Arabidopsis thaliana: one gene and its partners. The protein of the gene in region 2 interacts with the protein of the main gene of each other region in a pairwise test. Each region holds a gene or a part of one and is shown on either strand. Other genes may lie near its edges.

Evidence for each region. Proteins that work in one complex are often made in the same cells at the same time.
Region 1: the proteins of SHP2 (region 2) and SHN3 interact in a two-hybrid assay, tested with the Arabidopsis thaliana proteins (one large-scale study listed by BioGRID).
Region 3: the proteins of SHP2 (region 2) and AT2G36930 interact in a two-hybrid assay, tested with the Arabidopsis thaliana proteins (one large-scale study listed by BioGRID).

Annotation. Positions count from the first base shown.
Region 1 is NC_003076.8:8,816,071-8,823,623, reverse strand, and holds SHN3 (Integrase-type DNA-binding superfamily protein), read right to left. Parts: upstream 3,167-7,553; 5' UTR 2,988-3,166; coding exon 2,908-2,987; intron 2,373-2,907; coding exon 1,883-2,372; 3' UTR 1,562-1,882; downstream 1-1,561. Other genes in the region: AT5G25400 (Nucleotide-sugar transporter family protein), read right to left, coding at 1-341; CYCA2;1 (cyclin a2;1), read right to left, coding at 6,058-6,117, 6,198-6,332, 6,415-6,564, 6,651-6,684, 6,781-6,857, 6,955-7,030, 7,223-7,356, 7,472-7,553.
Region 2 is NC_003071.7:17,817,152-17,826,759, reverse strand, and holds SHP2 (K-box region and MADS-box transcription factor family protein), read right to left. Parts: upstream 6,506-9,608; 5' UTR 6,334-6,505; intron 6,174-6,333; 5' UTR 6,159-6,173; coding exon 5,932-6,158; intron 4,503-5,931; exon of another isoform or gene 3,876-4,502; coding exon 3,794-3,875; exon of another isoform or gene 3,674-3,793; coding exon 3,512-3,673; exon of another isoform or gene 3,424-3,511; coding exon 3,376-3,423; exon of another isoform or gene 3,272-3,375; coding exon 3,230-3,271; exon of another isoform or gene 3,140-3,229; coding exon 2,954-3,139; 3' UTR 2,747-2,953; downstream 1-2,746. Other genes in the region: PDF1 (protodermal factor 1), read left to right, coding at 91-433; HVA22F (HVA22-like protein F), read left to right, coding at 8,459-8,505, 8,604-8,630, 8,708-8,830, 8,922-9,174, 9,274-9,300. UniProt on the Arabidopsis thaliana protein: Probable transcription factor. Interacts genetically with TT16/AGL32 in a partially antagonistic manner during flower development. Is essential for the coordination of cell divisions in ovule, seed coat development and endosperm formation.
Region 3 is NC_003071.7:15,508,337-15,515,541, reverse strand, and holds AT2G36930 (zinc finger (C2H2 type) family protein), read left to right. Parts: upstream 1-3,934; 5' UTR 3,935-4,097; intron 4,098-4,178; 5' UTR 4,179-4,194; coding exon 4,195-4,385; intron 4,386-4,512; coding exon 4,513-4,575; intron 4,576-4,822; coding exon 4,823-4,999; intron 5,000-5,111; coding exon 5,112-5,174; intron 5,175-5,437; coding exon 5,438-5,540; 3' UTR 5,541-5,644; downstream 5,645-7,205. Other genes in the region: AT2G36950 (Heavy metal transport/detoxification superfamily protein), read right to left, coding at 1-326; AT2G36920 (B3 domain protein), read right to left, coding at 6,054-6,704.

The sequences.
Region 1 (7,553 bases), on a different chromosome or scaffold from region 2:
AAGGAGACCGAGAGGTAAATGTAGGCTGAGTTAGAGAGCCAAAGAGAGAGTGAATACAAGGCTCCGATCGGGACGACGGATCTGAGATAAGTGTCACGTGACATTGAGACCGGTTCGACAAATTTGAAGACCTTGATGAGAAGAAAAGCTAGGGTTGAGCAAAAGGACATGTGGATCATTGTGAGTGAGATCGGGAATGGCCAATCGTACATCTTCTTGTCGAGGATATATTTGTTGTAGACGATGACGGTGAAGCTTAGGAAGATCCATATTGCTACGTATGTGTAGGAGATGATTATGTTCTTAATCACGCCTTCGCTTAGTGATCCACCTTTACCCATATTCGTGATGTTTTTGCCTCTCTTACGACGGTGGTTCTGCGGCGGAGACGGTGGTGTATTCTCCGAAGTTTGTGAATTTTGGTGAGATCCTGAAAAAACGTTTTCAGAGTTTACTAAAAGAGAGAGACTCACACGTAACGGAAGTGATTCACCAATTTATAATTGTTTTCGGTTATAAATAAAATAAAATAAAAAGAATAATAGCGAAATTAATTAAATTTTAAAACGACCAAACCAGTCAAATTCTGAACTAACAAAATGTAATTTAACTCTAAACCAGCCAATATAACTAGTTAAAACTTTATACCTGGTGTTTGTGTCCGTTTTAAGATTTTAAATCATTTTTGAGAAACAATGTTTACATAAATGATATAGTGCGGTTGAATACTAATATTTTTATTCGATATAACATGAATATTTAATTAGTTACATATTTATGTATTTTTAAAACTTATTAGACCTCTCATATAAAATATCTAGAAGACATATATAACAGTATTTATATTTTAAGTATCCAAAAAACAAAAATATTGCCGGTAATCTATATATAATCGTCTCAGTCAAAATAGAATAAAAATAATAAAATAACCCTACCGCATCAAAATATCCAAAATATCAAAATTCGTCAACTTAACCTATTAAATATTTATGTCAAAATAGATGCTCTCCTTATATCTAAACAAGATGTTTAAACATCGACACAAAATATCCAAAATCCAAAGTGTGTCCATGATATGATATCATATATAAACTTGAGATGCTATCTAGACTTGGAAGAGGTTCACTTGATAAAATGTTTCAACTTGAGCTAGTTGATTAATTTTAGCCCGCTTAGATTTATTTACTTGAATCTCTTTTGTTATGTAAGATAATTTACTTAAACTTGTATGTGAAACTAAGTCAAAATCGCCTTTATCACATGCCTAAGTAAAAAATAATCAAATAAAATTGAATATCAAAAATCAGTATTTTAAAATAAAATTCTATAAGAATTGCTCATAAAGTTTATCATGATCGGGACAAGACGGAATAGGACAGGACATGAACTTTACCCAAACCAGGTAAACATGTTAAAATAGTAAAACCTTTCTTAATCTAGGTAGGACTAACATTCGAATCACAAGAATCTGATTCGCAGATGTGTTTAACAAAAGTGGCAAATCTCTTTCACATTTAATGTTCATTATTCTTTATTAAACTAATTAATTATCATCCTACCACTTGTACCTTCATAAGTATCATAATGACTACTATACTAATCTCCTGTAATTATATCATGTCCACAAATTCAATAGAAAATATCAACTACTCTTTAAACAGTAGGCCATATCAGTTTACAAGTCTTAGAATCACAACACATATACTATATTTGAGGAAAAATGTTTACGTATATATACGTACTCATTTCTAGAGCTATCATATATTCATATATATGTTCGAAAATTATATTAATTATTAGCTACACGTAAATTACTTACCCTCGATTATTATTAACCCTCAACTATATTATTATCTTGATCATATAATTCAATGATTCTCCTTTAGACCTGTGCAATGGATCCAGATCCAGGACAGGTCCAGTTAAGCAACTCCTCGATCATCTGCATCGCCATTTGATCATCTTCCTGAACGTCTTCGTTTCGTACCTTCATCTTATTAGTCTCAATATCACCACCGGGACGTGCGTTAACTTTGTCACCTAGTTCAACAAGCTTGACCCAGTTTGGACTCGTTTTTGACCCGGCGCGTTTCTGCCAGACGCCGATGTGTGAGCTGTCGTTGTCGAGGCGGAGACACGTCAGATACGGTGTCTGGTCTTTACAGTTCTTCCTTAGCTTAGCGTTCAATAGTTCCGATAATGATTTGGGAGACCTTAACGCAGAGTTAATCTCCAAGGAATTTGAACCGTTCGATTTGATGACGGGGAAGTTAGTCTTCGCGCTCTGGCCGTTCATTAGAACCGCGGCTTGGTCGTAGGCTCTAGCCGCTGTTTCCGCCGTGTCGAATGTTCCTAGCCACACTCTTCTCTTCCTGATAGCTCACATAAGTTACGTAAGCAAAAAACACACATTTTATTCAAACTTCAAAGTACTAAAACAAACACACAACAAATTTGTTATAAATTGTTACTGATAATAAATTGGGTCGTTTTCTTTTTGAGGAAAGTTTATAGTGAGTAGTGTTCGTTCCTTCCCAATTCTTTGCTATATGATTTTCTATAATCCAACTAAGACATAGAAAATACATCAGTATCAATTATATGACAAAGCATTTAAATTTATGTACACTCAAAATTTCAAAATACAACACAAAAAGTACAAATACTCAACATATGTATATGTTAATAAACGTGGGTTTTTTAATTGGAAAAAAATAAGGAAAACGACTTAAACAAAAATGCATGATATTATAAGAGCTTTGCATGAATCTTCGAAAATATAATCAATGATCAGAAAACTGCCCTACACGTACACCAAAAATGTAAACTTAACTCATAGCATGGACTTGCATAAACAGATTTATACTGTTGTCTCTATTAATAGATAGAGAGGGAGAGAGAACTGACAAGAGAGGATGACGAATCTCAGAAACCCAAGAACCCCACTGACGCTGGCGGACACCTCGGAACTTCTTCGAATGTACCATTCTTCTGTTTTAAATTAGGGTTCTTAATTTCTCTGTGTGTTTCTGACACGAACTAAGAATAGGAGAGAAAGTGAGAGTGGGAGAGAGATTCCTCGTCTCTGATCTTTCTATCTCCAACTACTCACTTAACTCTCTGCTTTTCCCACGTCCTCTCTACTGATATTTATTGTATGTCCCCTATCTCTTCCGTGTCATGGGGTTATTGGATTATATATAGCGTTAGGAAAACTACATGACAAGATAGTCCAAGTACAAATACTAGTTTTGCTACATATAACTAATCCTTTTCCATTTGATCATACTTGTCATTCTACAATGTTAATAATTACCCTACAACGTACAAATACTTGATGTCAGTTCATACCATGCATACAATGGTACCAAGTGATCATATTTCTTATTGCCTATCAATTCGTCTCTTTTCTTCATTAATTATGTGAATATTTGATAAGAAGAAATGTTATTGTTTAAAAATAGATCACGTTTTACTGTTTTAAGTGTTTATCGCTAATGCAAACTATCGAATGGACACTGACCCACAACCAATTACGAAGCCTAGTGGATTTTGGTAACCAAATGCATAAAATCGTACTAAGGTAACTATAATGATGTCCCATGTGTATTCAATTATTCATATACAGTTAAACCTCTATAAATTAATACTCGATAAATTAATAACCTCTATAAATTAATAAATTCTTCCAGTCCCGAGTTGGGATCAGTGTAAAAAGTGACACAAATCGATAAATTAATAAGATAATAACTTTTTAAAAAATCTTATGTAAATATATGGTCCCATCAATATCATAAATTAATAATTTTATAAATATATCAACTATATATACATTATATGTAAGAAATTATTTTGAAATATAATTCTAATATTTTTTTGCTTAAAATTTGTATTTATTCTTATTTAAATTTAGTTATAGTATTTTACTTTATCAAAAACTTTTGGTGTTGTTTTCTAAACATGATATTATTATTTACTTGTAATTGATTTTTGAAAGATATTTTCTATAATGAAAAAAATTTTATAGAAATTTTTGAAAAGTTACTAAATTACGAAAATCTCTCTATAAATTAATAAATATTAATTTATCGATAAATTAAAATCTTTCTAAATTAATAAAATTTTGCAGTCCCAACATTATTAATTTATAGAGGTTTTACTGTAGATGTCTTTCTATTTATAAACCTGTATTAACTCATACTGATTTTTTGTAAAGATTACACTTAATTAGAAGACTGATCACATCCCACACCTCTTGCCGTCGAATTTATTCCGAGTTACATAGCAATTCAAATTAAATGCTATCAAATTTTACTAACAGATAACTTAAACAGTGACGTGAAAACGTCGTCAAAACATATTTCATTCATCTATTTAATTTTCATTGTTTGATTTCTTATAGATCTATTAATTCGACACAAAACAGAGACCTCGATTTCATCTTTTTCGATCATCTACGTTTATGTTACTACCGGTTAAAATTTCTGAGAATAATTAAAATTATAGAAGTGTTTTTACTGATCAATTAATGAAAAGGCTAGAGAATTGTCGGTGCGTCGCGTGGTAAAGTCCACGGATATTTGGAGTAGTTGTTGTCCATTAAATGTTATGAACCTAAAGGAGACAAGAACGAGTTAAACCTTAAGCTTGAATAAATGAATTCACCAACATCTGCTAAACGTACAAAATTAAATTTATAAGTTGAAATGTATATAAGGATGTGACAGCCACATGAATATATAATGGCTCTGATGAATGCAAATGGTACAAGACGATGCAGGATAGGTGCGGTGGTAATCCTTTTGTTTTTCAATATTTAGATGTTTAACAAAGATCAGTTTTTAATTAATGTGTGGTTGACAAAAAAACAAAGATCAGTTTTGAGTCATTTAAAGTTTCTATAACAATTCTAAATTTCATTATATTTTTTAGAGCTAAAATAATTCAATAAACGTTTAATTATATGAATAATAATAAAATATTGGTCTAGAAATTGGTAATTCTCACAAATAGCACATAAATAATTCAAGAATAATTATATGAATTATAATAATAAAAAATTGGTCTAGAAATATGCAATTCTCATAAATAGCATGAAAGTAAGTTTGTTACTAAATTTAACACACAATCTCTAAAACTCTAAAAAAACACAAATTCATAGTAAAAAACTAATATAAAGTTATTAACATTCGATTGACGTTTCACACGATTGTTTGTAAATTAATCGTGATTTCAAATTGTAATTAATTTTGTTAATTTATATAATTATAAAATAGTTACTGAGTAAATTCACTAAAGCTAATTTTACAAATTTGTGGACAATGTTATTTTAATTGTCCATTAAACTTGTTTGAGTGCTATTTTAGGATATTTCTCTATGATATATCGCTCCGTTTATTTACGACAAATATACGTATAATTCATCTTTAGTATGATATTGTGAAAGAAATAATTACTTGTTAATGGAAAGCCAAGTTTTCAACAAATTTTGTCTTTATAGATCTTTGTTTAAATGGGTATCAACTAGGCTTTTCACTCAAGACAGGAAAAGGTTGGCATAAGAGAGAAAACCCAGTTTGTATTGTTTTAGAGAATCTGGTATTGCTTAGGTCGAGTTTCTTGAACAAGAAACAAAAGGTTTTTCATATTTGTTTATTGTGAAGTTTATTTGGGCCCAATGGAATGTAATTACCACTGGAACATCACTTGGTAACCAAAACTAAATAAATATACAATGGCGCATGAACACTTGCTTTTATTAATGAGTCTACAAAAATCTATAACATTTTTTTACTGTGAAGGACAAATCTCAATGAGTCAAAATTGTGTTTTGGTTGATACAATTTTCCATGAGATGGCACTTCTTTGGAAGCACCTGACACTAACAACAGTTACAGGTAAAAGATAGACAGACAACTTACAAGGAAAACTATTCCATAACTGTAGAGACCAAAACTGATGTCTGAAACTAGGATTGATGATCACCTGATACAAACTGCTGAAGCCAGAGAGTTGTGCTGACTTGGTCATATCAGGAGAATCAGAAAATCTGCGGTTTCATCTTGAGAAGAGTGTGTTCACACGTTCAGGAGATGTTAATGTTGCCACTCTTTTAAACTGTCAAATATTCATATAGAGTGAGAGAGACCAAATTCAGATTCAGTGTCCACTTTCTTAGATTGAATTTATTATTATACCTTTTGTTGGTTGTATTTGGTGTGTATAGCGATAAGAGTGCTTCCACTGGTGTTGAGCTGCAACTCCTCCATTGCAAGTACCGTGTTTTTTAGAGCGGATGTTTCATATCTTGTATAGTGTTGTAGAGTTTGGTTCTGTAAGCAATAACATTCACATCACCAAAAATTGTTTCAATGAGGTAAAAACATTCATAATGAGAAATATGAGCTCACTCACCCAAGGATGGTTAGATTGGTCGAGTGTCCATCTTGCTAAGAAAACCGCTGAAGCGGCAATTAGGGATGGAAGGAACCTTAGGAAAGTATATTCTGTGAGAGTTAGTTCCGCGAAATAGTTGGCTAAGTACTCCATTTCAATGAGAGGAACCTGTAAACCAACAAAATCAGTTTACTGATTCCAAGTTATTTCAAATGCTGAGAATGATTAGTGAAATGTATCAATGTAAATCTCACCTTATCAGACGCTTGAGCGGCGCGAATGAACCGCCTGAAACAGAGAAGAAGAAAATGACTTTAGAATGTTTTGAAAACGTTAAAGAGACTATGTTAAGTAATGGTGCATTTTGATGTGTTTAATGATTACCTGAGAAACGTTTTGGTGGTGGGAACTGATAACCGAAAATGAAGAGAGTTTAAAACTTTAATCTCCATACTTAGTACCTGAAAAAATAGTGTATTGTATTTTTTGTTAATCTTTTATTAAGAATGAATCATCTTAGCTGAGAACTGATAGAGATGGAGTCTGCATGTTAATTACTTCTAGTCTTGTGTATGTATTGTCTGTAATGAAGCAAAACTCCTCCAACCGCGGTGCACTAATCTCTTCGTATTTGCTTCAACAAGGAGGAATACCTTAGTTACTTGAGAAGTACTAATCTGTAATTATTAATTTAAGTATATATTCCAGAGTAAAACTTGCTCTAAGTATGCAATGAGAGCAAACATGTGTTCCTCTGTGTCCACTGATTGTTCAGTTTTACTTTCATTGCATTGTGAATGAGGAAACAGTAAAAGTGGTAACTCACGAGGCTATTAACATGCAAGTGATACCAAGTAGCTGGAGCTTCTGCTTTTCAATGTAATTATGAGACATGAACCGATCAATTAGATTCACGGTAAGGTAAAGTGTATCTGAAACCAACTTGTACTCTTCAGAGACCTGAAAGAAAAGAGATTCTTAGTTTAGCAAATACTTTGAAAATAACACACTTTCAACTTTTACACAAGTTCAAGTAAAAGTGTAAAACTATGCATAGCAAATATTGTATTCCTACCTCCACGAGCCAATCAATCAGAATTCCGCGCATCGTTGGATCGATATCTCGCTGCACTTGCACCATATAGCTAGTTGAAGGT
Region 2 (9,608 bases):
TGTCAAAACATTCGCTCTTATACAAACATCATAAGACAGATGATGATATCAATTATCACACTTCATGTGTTTTGTTTATCTTTTGTGTAGTTACTGGAGAAACCACCCTACATTGATATGGGGCTTGCTTGGATGGTGGGGAACTGTTGGAGGAGCTTTTGGTACAGTCAGTATTCCCAGTAGCATTCCAGGGTTTGATCCTCACATGAACCTTCTTCAGGCACTTTCCAACACCCGCTCTGATCCCATTGGTGCTCTCTACCGTGAAGGCACAGCTTCTTGGTTAAACTCCATGGTCAACCATAAGTTCCCTTTCACAACCCCTCAAGTTAGAGACCACTTTGTTGCAGGACTTTCCTCAAACAAGGCAGCCACAAAGCAGGCCCATACCTTCAAGCTTGCTAATGAAGGTCGTCTAAAGCCTAGAGTCTGAAGTTAAGAGAGTTTCATTTCTCAGTTTGTTTGTTGGTTTATATCAAAAACAATCTTAATTAATTATCTTGTCATTTGTGTTGCTCAGTAGAATTTGAAGTGTCCTATAGTCTCTAGTAATATTTATGATGGATACTTCCTTTTATTTAATGTTGTTGTTTCAAAAAATTTCTTGATCTTAAATAAGATTTAGTAGTTCCTCTGTTTCTCAATCACTGTTCAAGAATGTCCAAAGAAATGAATCATATGCAAGTTTAACCCGAACAAGAAACTATAGATAGGATCATAAAACATCAATATTGAAAGAGATAACAGATAATTTAATGTATAGACCAAGGTACAGAGAAGTCAAAGTCCAAATCTAGATTAACATGCTCACAGACCAACACATTGTCATAACTGTTGCATTAAATTGTTCATGAGCATTTTTAAAATCATGCCTAAGAGGTGTGTCTATAAAGTGAAAACAACTGGATTAAACTCCAAAAACGACAAGGGCAGGAGAAAGAGAGAGAAGGAGCAAACATTATAGCATTAAAGAAGGAAGGAGTACATATCAAAAGTGTGGTGTTAGTGTAATAAACTCTGTGGAGTAAATATTGCAAGATGGTCTCCATGCATTCAAGTTTCAAACCCCAAGTTCTACCCACCAATGAAAATATCTTTAATGACTCTCTCTATTGGTGTCTGGAATTGCATTCATGATATTAAGTTGGTGTGTCATGGTTATGGAAACACGACATCTTTGGAGGTTGAGAAATATCTCTATCCAAGTTTATCTTCACCCAAGGCTGTTATTTTTTCCTACTTTATGATCTTATGACTGATTCTAACTTTTTAATAATGTCAACAAAATCCATACGAAAAATAATACTAATCCAGAAGTAATCAAACTTTGATCCACTGAATCTGTTTTAGCCATGGAGAGCTTTTTCAGAAGTAATGAAACTTTGAAGTAATTTGAACGAGTAAACTTTTTGAAATTGTGATATATGCTTGTCATGATCAATGTGTGAACAGAGGATGATGATTTATTTGGTTTGTGATGATAGCATTAAGTAGATTTTCTCAAGTTCTAGCTCTGCAGTTATTTTTCTTCAAGAATTTCAACTTTTTTTCCTTGCTAAGTTGGATGCATCGATTGAATATTCTAGGCTTGATTTGTTCATCAGCATGTGGAATTTTCGGAACATAGCTCACTAAGTGGTTTCTTATCATTTTGAATTGAAAGTGTTCTGTTTTCACCTAATCACATTCTATGTTAAGGAAACTAAACTTATTTTTTGGAGACAGTCACCTCAGATTAAGACAGATGCCAGAACACATGTAGCAGTAAACAAAATTTAGCTATGAGAGTTTTCACTAAATCAAACTGATAGGATATGTAGCTTGTTTGGTTGCTCTCTTGCAGTAAAAGTTAGGTCAAGACACTATGACAGGTTTTGGCCGTTATACTATAAATCATGGTGAGAAATGCATGAATGTATTAAGTCTTGCAGAAAGCTTGGGAGGAGCTGCTGACAATGGAATTGAGGAAGAAAAGTCTCGTTGAATTCATTAGAAAATGGTACATCTCTTAGCTCCATTTGTTTTCAAATATCTTCTGCCATTTCTGTTGTTGCAGGTTTTCGACGCAGAATGAGAATGATTAAAGGTCAAGGGTTCTAAAATCCAAAAACATTATGACACAAAGTTCTACTAATAGTTCCATCTTATGATGCAGCATGATGTCCTTTCATAGTTTTAGGTACTGGTAAAGCTGTGGATGTAGAGACTATCAATTTCTCACATCAAGCTTCCTTCTTGATACAGTCTCATATACTGCAGAGTGTTAATACAGGAACTTCTACAAGCAGGATTTATTGCTGTTGAAGATCTTACACATCTTCTTGTCCCTCTATGACATGACGCTGGGACTAAGATCCTGATCCACTGAACTTTAGCAAGACTCTCAAATTCACAAGGGTTTTCATTTCAGTTGCCTTGTCTTAGTAAACCTGAGGTACCATCTACGATCTCTTTCTTGTAAATTTATGCATTACCTTAGAAAGTGAAAAATCCTGAGCTGATTTAGAAGGATAAAGAGACTATATCCTCTGCAGTTTGAAAACAAAAGGGGGAAAAAGGTTTGGCCTATATATATCGCTTATATCTTCCATGTCCATGATTTAGAATTTAGAAAGATCTTAATTAGATGTAACTTGGGATCTATCTATGCATATGCAGCTTTTGCATCTCAAACTGCATCTCAATAGTCTTGTTGAAATTGCATATGCTTTTTTTACGTCACATCAACACATTTTGATTTGAATATGCAACACTAACTAGCAATAAATCCCATTTTATTTTTGGATCTCTTGTCTTAGCCTTAACTTACATAATCAAGATATATGTAAATTATTAGGTCCCTCTCAAATCGTTACCATCTGCATTTTAAGTTTTTTGACAGTAAGTGTAACATGAATATATATATGCATAAGATCGATCTCAGGCTGAGGAAAGAAGCTTATGTTAGACTGAATCAAACAAGTTGCAGAGGTGGTTGGTCTTGGTTGGAGGAATTCTGATTCGGTTCAAGAAGGTTAACCGCAATATAATTCCGGTTATACTGCCCCGACTGGTGAGAAGAAGTAACACCCGACTCGTAAACTGTCCCTTGATGTATCACACTCGATTCTTGTTGCTGTAGACCTGTTCTTTCAGTAATCTGCAGAGATATTTAGAATTTGCACATCAAGAGATTGTCTACCGGAAAAAAATGATGATCAAAAATGCCAAAAAGAGTTATGTATAAAACCTTGGAGCGGAGATACATGTTATCGTTTTGCAGCTCGATTTCCTACAATGCAAGCGACAACAGAAAATAAAAAAAGATGATCATCAGAAAGAGAAGTTGCTAATAAAGTAGGGGGTAAGTTACTTGTGAAGGAAGATAGGTTTTACTTTTACCCTTTTTTGCATGTATTCAATCTCTGCAACTAACATCTCGTGCTGGAGAGAAAAACCAAATATAACGGGCAAGAATCAGATGGATATATATTCAATGATAAGGAGATTGATGGAGAGTTAGTGATTGTACCTTCTTGGATCGGACACGACTGATTCCTTTCTCAAGCCTACTTTCAAGGTTCTTGAGTTCCTTAAAGTTCAAGGAACCAAGAGATTCACCAAGAATGTGTCTGTTCAAATTCTGAATGTCCCGAATCTGTCTCCGGAGTTTAGACGCCTCTTGCTGATAGTACTTCATCAATTTCGATCCCATCATTGTTACAAGAGGTGAAAAAAAGGTCAGATAACTAAAAGAAGAAGAAATTAAGTAATTAACGAACTAGCTAGCTAGGTGTATTAATTAAAAGCTAACCTGAGTATTAGCTTCGGTGATGGTCGGAGGGTTAACGGCGTCGGAGCAAGCTTTCTTGTACCTTTCTATTGTTCCTCTCACACTTCATCAACATTCACACAAAGGAAAAGATTTTAAAATGCAATCTTTTTTGTGGTAGCTATATATGTAAATAGATGCAATCGGTGAAAATCTCAAACTTAAACCACCACAAGTAAAACAAAGACACACGAAACTATAACTGTTGGATTCAAACACTAAAACCAGAAGAGAAAAAAATATATATATATGAAGTCGTTAAAGAAATTGATATTTTTATCTTCTGGATATACAAAACACACAGAAAGACGGATATTAAGGTTTTGAAAATAAAGTTTTGTCCGCCCAAAACCTTAAATTCAACCGACAAAATAGTGAATGGACCAGTACCATATAGTATATGATTTGTTTGCCCTTCTTTTTTTGGGATATTATTGTTATTGCCTATTATCTATTAACAGTGACATCTCACAAAGTTATATATATATATATATATGTATAATCAAAGTTCGAGAAGACCCTAATGTGTACTTCCCCAAAAAAGTGTAATCCTAATTTGAAAACATACAAAAGAAAGAAGTAGCAAATCGGAGAAGAAAATAAAAAGAATTTGAATTGCATATGCTCTTAGTTAATTGGAATTGGTCCCAATTTATGTACGACACAAAATCCAAATTATATTTTAGGCTAGTATATATTTTGGCCTAATTAGATTAAAAAATTCACTACTAGGCTTTAAGAAAAAGAAGTGATTTTCAGGTCAAGTCAATAGATTCCCTACTCTAGAAGCTAATTTTGCTTCTTCATTTGTTTTTCCTGAATTAATATTTGAACATTACATTTACATGCATATGTGGCTGAGGCAAGTATGTTTTTACCAAGAACATGATATTTGTAAATCTTTTGCAAAACAGAAAAAGAAAAGCTAGAAATCTTTGCATAACGTTATGCTTTCATATTCATATACAAGTAATTTACATTGTGCTGTTGTATAATGGAAAGCTGAAGTTGAGAAATGTCAAAAGTAAGATACTACTAAAGCATGAGGGTGTTTGAAATAAGAAAGTTAACTACACTTTTGATAATAGAAACATATATATATCACATGTTTCTACATACATAATGCATTCCTCTTTTGTTAATCAAATTAGTCATGTCCATTATAAACTTCAGATCAGTTCTTTAGTCGTTGTGAAAGTTCACATTGAAACTACAAATTTACTAGTTTTAACTTAGATCCATGATATGAGACTTGACTTATAGATTATAGTCATACATCAACCTCAATTATAGTATTAACTAGCCAAGCAAATAAAAACAATATTTTTGAAAACATTTATCTTTAAAAAGCAGACAAATAATCAAAATGGTGAAATGAACATGAGCTGTTAATAGCTGGAAACGTATAGAAAAACGGAAATGACAAGTCCCCAACTTGAAGTGGAGAAAATAACAATCAAAAATCAAAATTTTCTGTTTCGTTATTTTTCTTGATTGATGGATCGGATGATTAATTAAGTGACTCAACAATAAGCTTTGTCCCTGATTCATTTTCTTGATTTAACAAAAGGATTCACCAAAAGATTAGAGAAGTGTCAGAAGACAAACACCTACTAGTCTCTCCCTAGTGAATCAATTTTGAAGGAATCTACATAGCTTTTTTATATAGCCAAATAATATATATTATTATAATTTTATCAAGAACCCTACTTTTTCATTACTATGATGGAAACCTAATGATCAATCTGCAGAAATAAAACTTGATGGGTCATCAAATTGATCGAAGTGTCTTGTACAAACTGACATAAATAGATACATATATAGATACTGTTATAAGGATTTGTGGAGAAAAAGTGACTGGAACAAGGTATGGGGGATGCTAATTAATGATCAGAGAAGACCCTCACTGCTTTTTTACTAAGAGAAAGAAGTTAAAGTAGGGTTCCCTAGTTTTAAACAAACCCTAATTTTGGGGATTTTTAAAGAGATTTGAGCTTCAGAGAAACTAAGGAAAAAAACTATAAAGAGACCATAAAGATTGAAAAACCCACCAGAAGAGTCGAAACTTTATTCTAGAAAAAAAATTCAAGAAAATCAAGATCTAGCTAAAAGATGTGTACCTGTTGTTGGCGTACTCGTAGAGACGGCCTCGAGTGGAGAAGATGACAAGAGCAACCTCAGCGTCACACAAGACAGAGAGCTCATAAGCTTTCTTGAGTAAACCATTGCGTCGTTTGCAGAAAGTGACTTGACGATTCGTAGTGTTCTCTATCCTCTTTATCTCTATCTTCCCTCTCCCTATCTTCTTGCTGCTCTCTGCTACTTCATTACTCGCACCACCCTCCATTTCTATAAGCCCTAGCTGAAGTATAAACACAAGAGAAATAGATCAAATCCTTTTGCACTCAAACACCTTGGATTAAAAGAAATGGTTTATAAGGATTAACTGAAGAACCCTAATAATTTGATTGGAGAAAAGGAAGAAACTTTTAAAAAAAAGTGTAAATCATCAATAACCATACCTGGCTTAGCAAGATTAATTATGATCAGAAAGAAAGAGAAGTGAGGATGGGAAGATGAATTATGAGAGAGTTAATTTGTTCATTGGCCTAAAGATACTATTCTTATTATCTCAGTACCACTTAACTGCTGCTTCAACTTTATTTTTTGTTTTTGGTTTCTGTTTTGGTTTATAATTTCTTTTAGAGGAATATTTCTTTGGAAGTATTTAAAAACCCATTTGCAGAAAACAGAAGGTTTGGTAGTTTTTTTTCAAACTGAAGTGTTATAGAAGGAAAAAGAAAGAAAGAACATGGACCATTACTTCTAACATTTTCTCAAATATCACACACCTAATTCTTTTAATTAAATTCTATATGCATACATTTAGATTGAAATTTGAAATTGATTGGAATTAAGTGGTAGAAAATATCAAATTAGAAAGAAGAAAAAAGAAAGAAAGAAGACAGTTGGGTTTGGATTGGGTGGGGAGAGAGCATTGAAGGAGGACCATCCAATTTTTCTTTCATGTTTAGAGGAAAAAAGAGAGGTATGGGCTCTGTTTCTCATCAGAATCACCTTTTGGAAACTTTCCTTTTTTGGTAATCCCTTTTTATTCTCCTTTTCTTTTTATTGCCCTACTCCTATATACATTGCATGTCGTTAATATTTACCTGGCATTTTATATATAAAAAAAATATTTCCAATTAAACCAATATTTAGCTAATATGCTAAGAATTTGGGTGGTTTATATGAGTGTTCGTCGTCAACGTTAGAATGGGGTTATATGAATATGAGTGTTATAACTTGTCAACTACCAAGCGAGACAATGAATAAGATTTCAGTGTTCTTGCCAATTAAAAAAAACTGTAAATAGTATATATTATTATTTGGTTGTGTTCAGAAATGGCAATTTAAGAGTATATATTATAACTGGTTTAGTTTTTCCAAAATTCTTATGTTCAAGTCTTAATCTTGGACATTAGGTTAGTCCAACGGCAATTTGAATATTTATTTTGATAATTAATTACATCATATTACGTAATTTAGACAAAAGAACTACATCATATATGCGACAATATAATTAGAGAAGATGAAACTAATAAAGTAAATGAAAGCAGAGAGCCCACGGGGAATGACTAATCATGTGTGTAGTCATTATCCATGAACCCTTTCTCAGATTTGCATTAATTAATTGTAGTTACGAAAGGAAACTCTTTTGTGTTTTGCCCATTCCTCATCATTTTCATTGTACTTCTATTCAATTTTCTTAACGAGCAACACACATTTTCACATTCATGTCGAATTAATTAAGTTGGAAATTCTGCAAAATCATTTCAAGAAAGAACTTGATGAGAGCTGGTAGGTCTTTTGATTGACTTTCGTGGTCTATATTCTCAATATATAGTATATGCTTTGAAAGTTGAATATGCACTAGTTCTTGTTGTGTTAAGAGTTAATTAGCGTGAAGTAATATAATTCTCATATCGAGTGTTTAATTTACTAGCTTTATGACAAAATAATCATAATCAAATAGAATACTAATGAAGAAAAAGGTAATATATATATGTAAGAAAGATGAATTATGTAAAGATTGCTTTTACTAGCCCTGTGACAAAAAATGTTAAATCTTTATCAAATTGAACGATGATTGATAATTGAAATTTAATTTTAATGAAAAGAAGTAGTATATAAATGGGTAAGAAAGAGAGATTTCCAAATTAAAGGACAGGTGATTTTTACTCAAGTATCATAATCAAATTGTGTATACGTCCAATCTCATTAATTAGTGCATAAGTTATTGATCACTAACTCTTGTGAAAAAGAAAAGAATCTTTTGTTTTGACGAAAACATATTCCAAATACCATTCATAGGGATACTAAACCCAAGACTTTGGATTTCCCTTCATCAGAAATTTTCCAACGTTTACTTTGAGATATTTTTTTTCTTCTTAGAACATATAATAAATAGGTTCATGAAAACGTAACAATGCGTTGGAGATTCTTTACCTGGCTTGTTGCCTTAACTCCCACAAAGATTCTTTTGCTTGAAGAAATTTCAAGCTTTTGTGTATATATCCAACGTCACAGTGCTAAAGACGTTTGAGAAAGTTTCTGTTGAAAGAAGAGTAAAAACTCAAAAAGAAAATGGGTTTCATTATTGCGATTGCAAAACGTTTTGATGCTCTAGTTGGGTAGGATTTTATTCAAATTCTGTCTCATATAATAAAAATAAACACTATATTTGTCAAATTTTTAACATTATTTTCTTCCTTTTTCTTGTTGCATGCAGGCCTGGAGTCATGCTTCTCTATCCTCTGTAAGTGATATCAAATCTGAATTTAAATGTTTGGTTTTTACAAATGCAACTTGATAGTTAACTGAATAAATGATTAGGTATGCATCATTTCGAGCAATAGAGAGTCCAACAATGTTAGATGATCAACAATGGCTTACATATTGGATCATTTACTCTTTAATAACGATATTCGAGCTATCCGTTTGGAGAGTCCTTGCCTGGTAATTACAATATTATTCACTAAATTCTGTTACGAATTCAAAAATTTATGCCTATAAAGACAAAAAAATGGTGTTCTTTTGCATATTGTAGGCTACCATTTTGGCCATACTTGAAGCTTTTGTTCTGTATGTGGTTGGTGCTACCAATGTTCAGTGGTGCAGCTTACATTTACTCCAATTTTGTTAGACAATACGTCAAAATTGGGATGAATGTTGGAGGAGGAACGAATTATACAGACGAACAAAGAAGAGTTTTACAGATGATGAGTCTTGATGCTAGAAAATCGGTTCAAGACTACGTTGACCGGTTTGGATGGGATTCTGTTGAGAAAGCAATCAAAGCGGTATATGATTTCTCTTGTTGATCTTTAATATAGTTATGTATATATAATCCAATACATATATTCTGGGAGTTTAACTTCATTATTTGTGTTCAAATGTAGGCTGAAAAAGAAACTAGAAAGCATTGAGATGGAAGATCAAGAGTCAAGAAAAACATTACTCTTTGGTTTGTACATGTATGTACATAGATTGTATAGAGCAATACTATAATGAAAAAGATATATATGTTTGAAAGATTTATGGTGACAAATTTGTGTTCTAGTACTCTATGACCAAAGATACTATTAGAGAAGCCAGTCCAACTCTTTTTGACAACATACATTTGGATGGGTCTCAATTTGATTAAACAAAACATCAGGACACGATTCGAATTAAAATGAGAATACAACACTCTTTTTGACATAAAAATAAAAATAAAATTCAAGCTCGCGCTATA
Region 3 (7,205 bases), 2.3 Mb from region 2:
TTGGTTTTCTCCTCCAACTTCTCCTGGAGTTTCACTGGATCAATCTTTCCGACCACCAAAAGCTTATTTCCACCAGTATCTGCCGTCACATCTTTCACTCCATCAAAGTGCTTAACCATTCGCTTTATCTTCTTAGCGCAGCCTTCACAGTGCATATCCACTTTGTAAACAAAGGCAGAGACAACCGCGGCGACCGGTGGTGCTGCTGCTGCCGCGGAATCTCCTCCGCCGCTCTTTGGCTTGCCGTCAGTAGTCTCAACTGGGACTACGGTGGCAGCCGGCTTCTTCTCTTGTTCAACTTTGGGACCTTCTTGGACCTCTCCCATTCTTGGTTGAAGATAAGGATATATTTTTAAGGATTTTTATTTTTTGTATTTAATAGGACGAAGAATTGTTTGAACGAGAGTAAGTGGAGGCAAATGTGTGTATTTATAGAAGAAGAAGGAATGCGTGAAGGTTATTATTTTACTATATTATCGATACTGATTTTTTACTGAATATTATATGGTTTGATATTACATGTTCATTTCCGTATGTGTGTATTTGTTGGGGGCTGAGGTCAGCGAGAGTGGGCGTTTGACGCCGGTTTGACACAAGTGATGGTACGAGACACGAAGGCACCAAGTTTCTGAACAACATTACTTTAATCATCCGTGGATAATATTAAAAACAAAAATTGTTTGTGACGCAAATAGTTGATCAAGTTTAATGATTTCTTAAAGGTAACATTGCTTTTGAAAACAAAAAGAGCATCATTTCTCAGCTTTGACTACTTGATGACTTGAGTCTAGATTAGCAGAATCTTATATCAGTTTAAGGTAAAAATACATTCGACCAATTGTCACAATTCAAAGAATATACATCCTATACCTTATCAGAAACAAACTTTAGTTAGAAGATTTCATGGCCTTAAATACGAAATCAAATCATTTTATGAAGTCCGGTAATTCGTTTATTATTACAAGTTCATATAGGAAGAAAAGTGATGTTTTAATCAAATCATTTTTGTATTTTTGAATCACATCATTTTTGAAATTTTATCAATAAAAAAGAATTTGTAAAGAGATTAAAGATAAAGATAGATTCTTTTTCTTCTGATAAATGTGTATTGGTTAAAGTCATGATTGTGCAAATTGCATAGTCTTTTCTCATTGTAAGTGAAGTTGATGGAACCTCCTCTTCTCTTCTCTTTTATGTTTTATATTATTTAAAAAATTCATTTTAAGAAGTGATTTACTACAATTGATTCAAAAAAAAATCTTCTAACAGATTTCCCAAAAAGTTTTAGATATTTTGTTGTATTTTTAGGAAAAGAAACCAAAATTTATGATATTAAAATACCACATGTTATATTATATGATCCAATAAACGCATATTAAGATCAGATCAAAACTTTAAAATACAAGCTATACGAGAAGTCGCACATGGTTTTAATCTGTCAAGTAGTTTGACCGATTAATATATTTGATACTAGTACATAGAAGAATTCGAGACATGTGTGTGTAATGTACATATATTACTAAATTAACATCAACAAAAATGTGTATCATATATCTGAACAATTTTTTAAAAAATTGTATATGTTTTCGAGTATCAAGAATGTAATTTCACGTTTCGTTGTAATACACTATTCGTATCACTATCACCTACTGGCATACACTACTTTACATAATTCGTTCAGCACCAATAGCTTATATAATTATTTTTTAAATTCTTGCATAAATCAAAAGAATTTTGCTCTCCTAAAGAGCACAATTAGTGATTTTAATTAAATGATTACTTTGGTTTTGTTAGTTTCAGCTTCATGGAAACAGCCAAGAACCGCCTATCTACAAAAAACATGGGCTGCGGTATAGAGATAGAGACAAGAGGAATTGCAATATTAACTCACTGAGTTTTTACTTTTCTTTGAATGCTAACATATTGGGTTCGCTGTGTGAAAATTGAATTTTATCTGAAAATCTTTCAACTGCATAAACAGTAAAAGGATAAGAAAAGTTAAAAAAAAAAAATGTCCCAAGGGTTGCGTAATTGCGTTTCGTTCCTCCTTTCACCGGTCCATTTTGTCAACATCATGTTTCATTGTGTTTTGTTGATTTTTTTTGGTCATATGGTCCTATGAGTGACGTAATACATGAGGTGGACACATATTATTATATACACATGAAATATAGAGTTTGATTGAGAACTTTCTTGTCTATTATCTAAAATCTTTCGTAAAGTTAACGATCACAATGACCACAAACTTCAACGTACGTAAGTTTGTGTTTGTATTTTGAAAATCGATGTTTGGATCTTTTGAAACGTTTTGTTCAGTAATTTGGAAGTTTAGGGTAGAAATGGTCACTTATTATATGTAGCTAAATACGATTTCAACACATACAAACTACAAAGATTTGTTTTCGTGTTCCACAGTGTAACACGTCAGGCTGACTTGGATAATTTTAACTAACTTTACCAAGGTTAATATAAAACATAATCACTAATTGCAACATAAATAGACCATTTTAATTTCAGGTTGCAATTAGAGATTATGGTATACACAGCCACACAAAATCAAGAAAAATATGGCAACAGAAAATCGTCTCGTTTCAACCCTTTAAGTAGTTTCATCCATCCATATGGTGCCATTTTAAGTACACATGCAAGTCACCATTTTTCCTCATATTTTTTTGGCAAGTCTCATTGCTCGCCTCTCGTTGTAGCTTACAAAAATGACCATTCAATATGGTTATAAACCATCTTCATGCGACTGGCAAAAAAAAAAAAAAAAAAAAACCATCTTCATGCATGTCAGTTTTTTGTTGCTAGAAAGTTCGCCGTACATATTTGTCTCTCATGTAAAGGTGAAAATGGCTGTAACATGGATTAAACTATTAAAGATTCATTTTATGAAATATAATTTCCATTCATTTTGCTAGGAAATAATGAGGAAAGAACAAATTAAAAGAAATTTGTGTTCATCACAAAACGATAGCAATGTTTACGGAATGGAACCTAAAAGTAAACTACAGTTAGAAAGTGAAAGAAAATAAGATAATCAAAATGATATACAGTAACTTGGTCTTAGGAGTCTAAAGAGTAAAATCTATCTGATAATTAAGACAACATGAAAAAGATGGGCTATAGAAACGTTTTGAAATCAAGTTTAGTGGGGGCAGAGACAAAGTAGAACCAACTCATCAAGAACTCAATTTTAAACATCTAAATGGATCTCCATGCAACATTATTACACTAATAAATAATATGAAAAGTTTGGATTTGGTACCGGTCTGTTTCACTATCATTGTTACAATTATTGTATTCCTCGGCAGGAGCACCTTAGTTTATTAGAACAATTAGACCCCATTGACGAACCAATATGGTGTAGAAGTATCTGGAAAGAAAAAAGGAACGTCCCACATTTCAAACAAATCTTGCTAACCACGTATTATCTAGCTGGAGGAATGAGAATGACACATTGTCCTTGCTCTAGATGTAAATCCACATAACATAAGTAGGATCGGTTCTATTAAAACATTAATTGGAAAGCATTTCAAACTCGGGATAGTAAGTGTGGTGGAGACATGACGTATTGGTGACAAAAAAAATTATAGAGAGAAGAAACAAGCTTCAAACCCTCCCCAAGACAACAAAACCATCATTGTGGGGAGCATTAAGAGTATGCAACGCAAAGAGGCCTTTCATTCCCTTGCTCTCTCCACTTCTAAGAATTTATTGGTTTCTTGTTATACTAATAAATTAATGGAACCCTAAAAACAAGGTTATGAGATTTATCAGTAAACCTACGCTTCTGTCACTAATTCGGTCCAAGTACATTGCTAGAACTCTGTGACTTATCTTACAATGCTATTTCAGAATAATTTCAGACTAGATCTTAATTGGTTCCGTATGTATTACTGATTTCCAAATCATTAATTATTAATGGGCCTATCTAAGCCTGTTTAATAAATGGGCCTTGCGTCAAAGTCTCCATCACTGAAACCGCCCTTTTTAGGTTAATCAATACTTTATAACCGAAACTGATATTTTTTCTAGGGTTTCCTCTTCCGCATTCGTCGTCTTCAGCTCCTCCTACACAGTTTCTTCTCTGAATCGTAAGTTTTGAATTAATCTGCAAATTCGTTTAGATTCTTATCAATTAGTCACTAATTTTTCAATTGATGATTCGATCTCAGTACTTAGGAAGCTAAAATGGGTAGATGTCCGACTAGAAAAGTGAAGAAGAGGAGATTATCTCACAAAACAGCTCGCCGTGACAAATTCGAAGTCAAAGGCGATGACTTGGTTTACACAGAGTTGCGTAAACCGGAGACGGAGATTAAGCCGTTACAGCTTGACGAGGATTTGCCTGGAATGGGTCAATTCTACTGCTTACACTGCGAGTAAGAGAGATTCTATGATTACTCTATTGACGATTCTTTTGGTTTATGAAACTTTTTTTTAGCAAATACATTATCTTTGAATTACTCTATATGACCCATTTGTTTGTTTTACCTTGATATGTTTTAGTCGATACTTCTCCAACGTATCAGTGAGGGATGATCATTTCAAGACTAAGAAACACAAGAAGCGGTATGTGGATTCTTCTCCTTCCTTGGCCTTGGTTTCTATTTTGTTTTGTGTTCTTGGAACTGTGTTTGGTTCTTGTGCTCGTTTACTTTCTTGCTTGCAATGTTAAAGCTATTTCTCTTCACTTCTGTGTACCTAAAGATGTTTTAGCATTTGTAATTTGATTACCTTTGTATGATTATACATGTCTGTTGCAGTGTTGCTCTGTACTCAAGACTTATTATATGTGTTTTGTCCACTTGGATTGCAGTGTGAATATGATGATGGGACAAGCGCCACACTCGCAACTCGATGCAGATTTAGCCGGGGGAATGGGGATGCCGGACAATGGCCCAAAGCTGATGTCTAATTTGGTATTCACAGAGTTGCGTAAACCAGAGACGGAGGATTTACCTGGAATGGGTCAATTCAACTGCTTACTCTGCCAGTAAGATTATATGTGCAAAAAGACAATCTTTGAATTACTCTAGATTTCCATGTTTGTGTGAACATTTGTTTGTATTTGATTGACCTTGTCTCTCTACCTTGATATTTTTCAGTCGGAACTTCTCCAATGCATCAGTGATGGATTATCATTTCAAGACTAAGAAACACAAAAAGCGGTATGTGGATTCTTCTTCCTTGGTCTTGGTTTCTATCTTGTTTTGATCTTGGAACTGTGTTTGGTTCTTGTGCTCGTCTACTTTGAATTCATCTTGCTGGCAATGTTAAAGCTATTTCTCGTCACTGGCGTAGCTAAAAATGTTTTAGCACTTGTAACTTGATTACCTCTGTATGATTATATTATTGATCTATGCATGTCTGTTGCTCTGTACTCAGACTTAATATCTTTCTATTGTCCATTTGGATTTTTGTGTGATTGCAGTGTGAAGAAGATAGAGCGACCAGCGCCACACTCGCAACTCGATGCAGATTTAGCTGGTGGAATGGGAATGCCAGACAATGGTCCAAAGCTGATGTCTGCCTGAGTTTTTACAGTTATTTTCCTTATTTAGTTAATGGAACCCGAAATTTTGTTGTAAAACTATAATCTCCTAAATTAATGATACAGGTTTTTTGTCTGTTGCCAAGTATCTATCATGCAGTTACTGGTTTAGCTTCACTTAGAAGTTTAAATCTGATAAATCATATATTGTTTGTGTTGGTTGCATAAAAAACTTAACCATATAAGCCATACCAATCGTTGTTTTGACAAAATAGAAAGAACAAAACACTAGCTCTCTCAGCTGCTGATATGCGTTTGTAATTGAGATCACATTATGCAGACCTTGTTCTCTTCCGGGGAACTATTGCCTTTCCACGAGCAATCACGCCAAAGTGAAGCCTAGAAGCAGAAGAATCCCATAAGAGTCCTATATCGTCTCTTTCTTTCAAACTTCTCCTTTTGGATAAAATCTTCCAGCCAGTCACCCGTTAGAACATAGGTATATTGTACTGCCAGACGCAGCTCATGCATTGTGCTCGTGTCGTTGTCCTATACCTTAACAATGAGTCCGCTTTTGCAAATCAGCTTCAGGCAGATGTCCTCGAATCTGCTGTTCGAAGAAGCTTCTGGGCAGACGAAGTTGGCCATAAGTAGGGTTAACATTATGCTCGGTCAGTCTCTTCTTGATGGTCCATTGAGGTGCGTTGTTGACAAGTCTAGGGATAGGCATCATCGTAATCTCTATTCCATCTCTTGCTACCTTCAATATGGATTCAATGCTCCCAAAACAACGAAGAGAAATGTTACTTGGGTCTCCCAAAGTGTCAGAATTGTTTGTGCCATGTTCTTCACCTGAAACGGTAAAAGAACATAACATCGACTCTGTTGATAAAAAGGCACAACCACAAGAACCTCCTCCGAAATGGAAAGGATTTAGCAGGTTTTCAGTGTTCATGGTGATGTCATTACTTTCGAAGTAGTTTTGGTTTTTCGAGAATGGACCATGTCGACTGTTAAAGGCTTCTTTGTCTCTGTTCATCGGAGAAACAGAGGAGCAAGACGTTTCAAACGGTTCTTGGCTCATAATTTGCTTCTCTGTTACCTTGGATGACAAGAAAGACAAATCTTGAGGGCGCTCTCGTGGTTCTTGACTCGTACGAGCTCGATTCTTTTCCGATGGAGATGTACAATCGTCTGAGAATGACATTCTCGTTTCGCGATTTCTTCTTCGTCTAAGAGAGTTATCGTTATAACGATTTCACAGAGATACTGTATGAGGGACTAATGAGACCGCAAGTGATGATATATATATATATATATATATATATATATATATATATATATATATATATATATATATTATTCGCAAAGGCTAATCCAAAATGTTGGCAAGGATTCAAATAAAAGAGTGATAACATTTTGAGAAAACCCCGCCGCTAAGGCATCCACCAAGAAATTCTAAATTAAGTGTTACACAGACAAGAGACACTCAAAGTGATCGGGAAAAGTATGCAGGCCCTCTAGTGTTTTGTTTCCAAGCCCATAACGGAGCCTAAATTCATCATCCGCAACACCTTGATAAATGACTCTTCTAACGCTGTTCCTCTTTGGATTAGGAATAGGCGTAATAGACTTGAATATCAAACGGATCGAGGTGCAAATCTCATCTTGATCTATACCATTTCTCTGCTTGCGCATGTTTTATCTT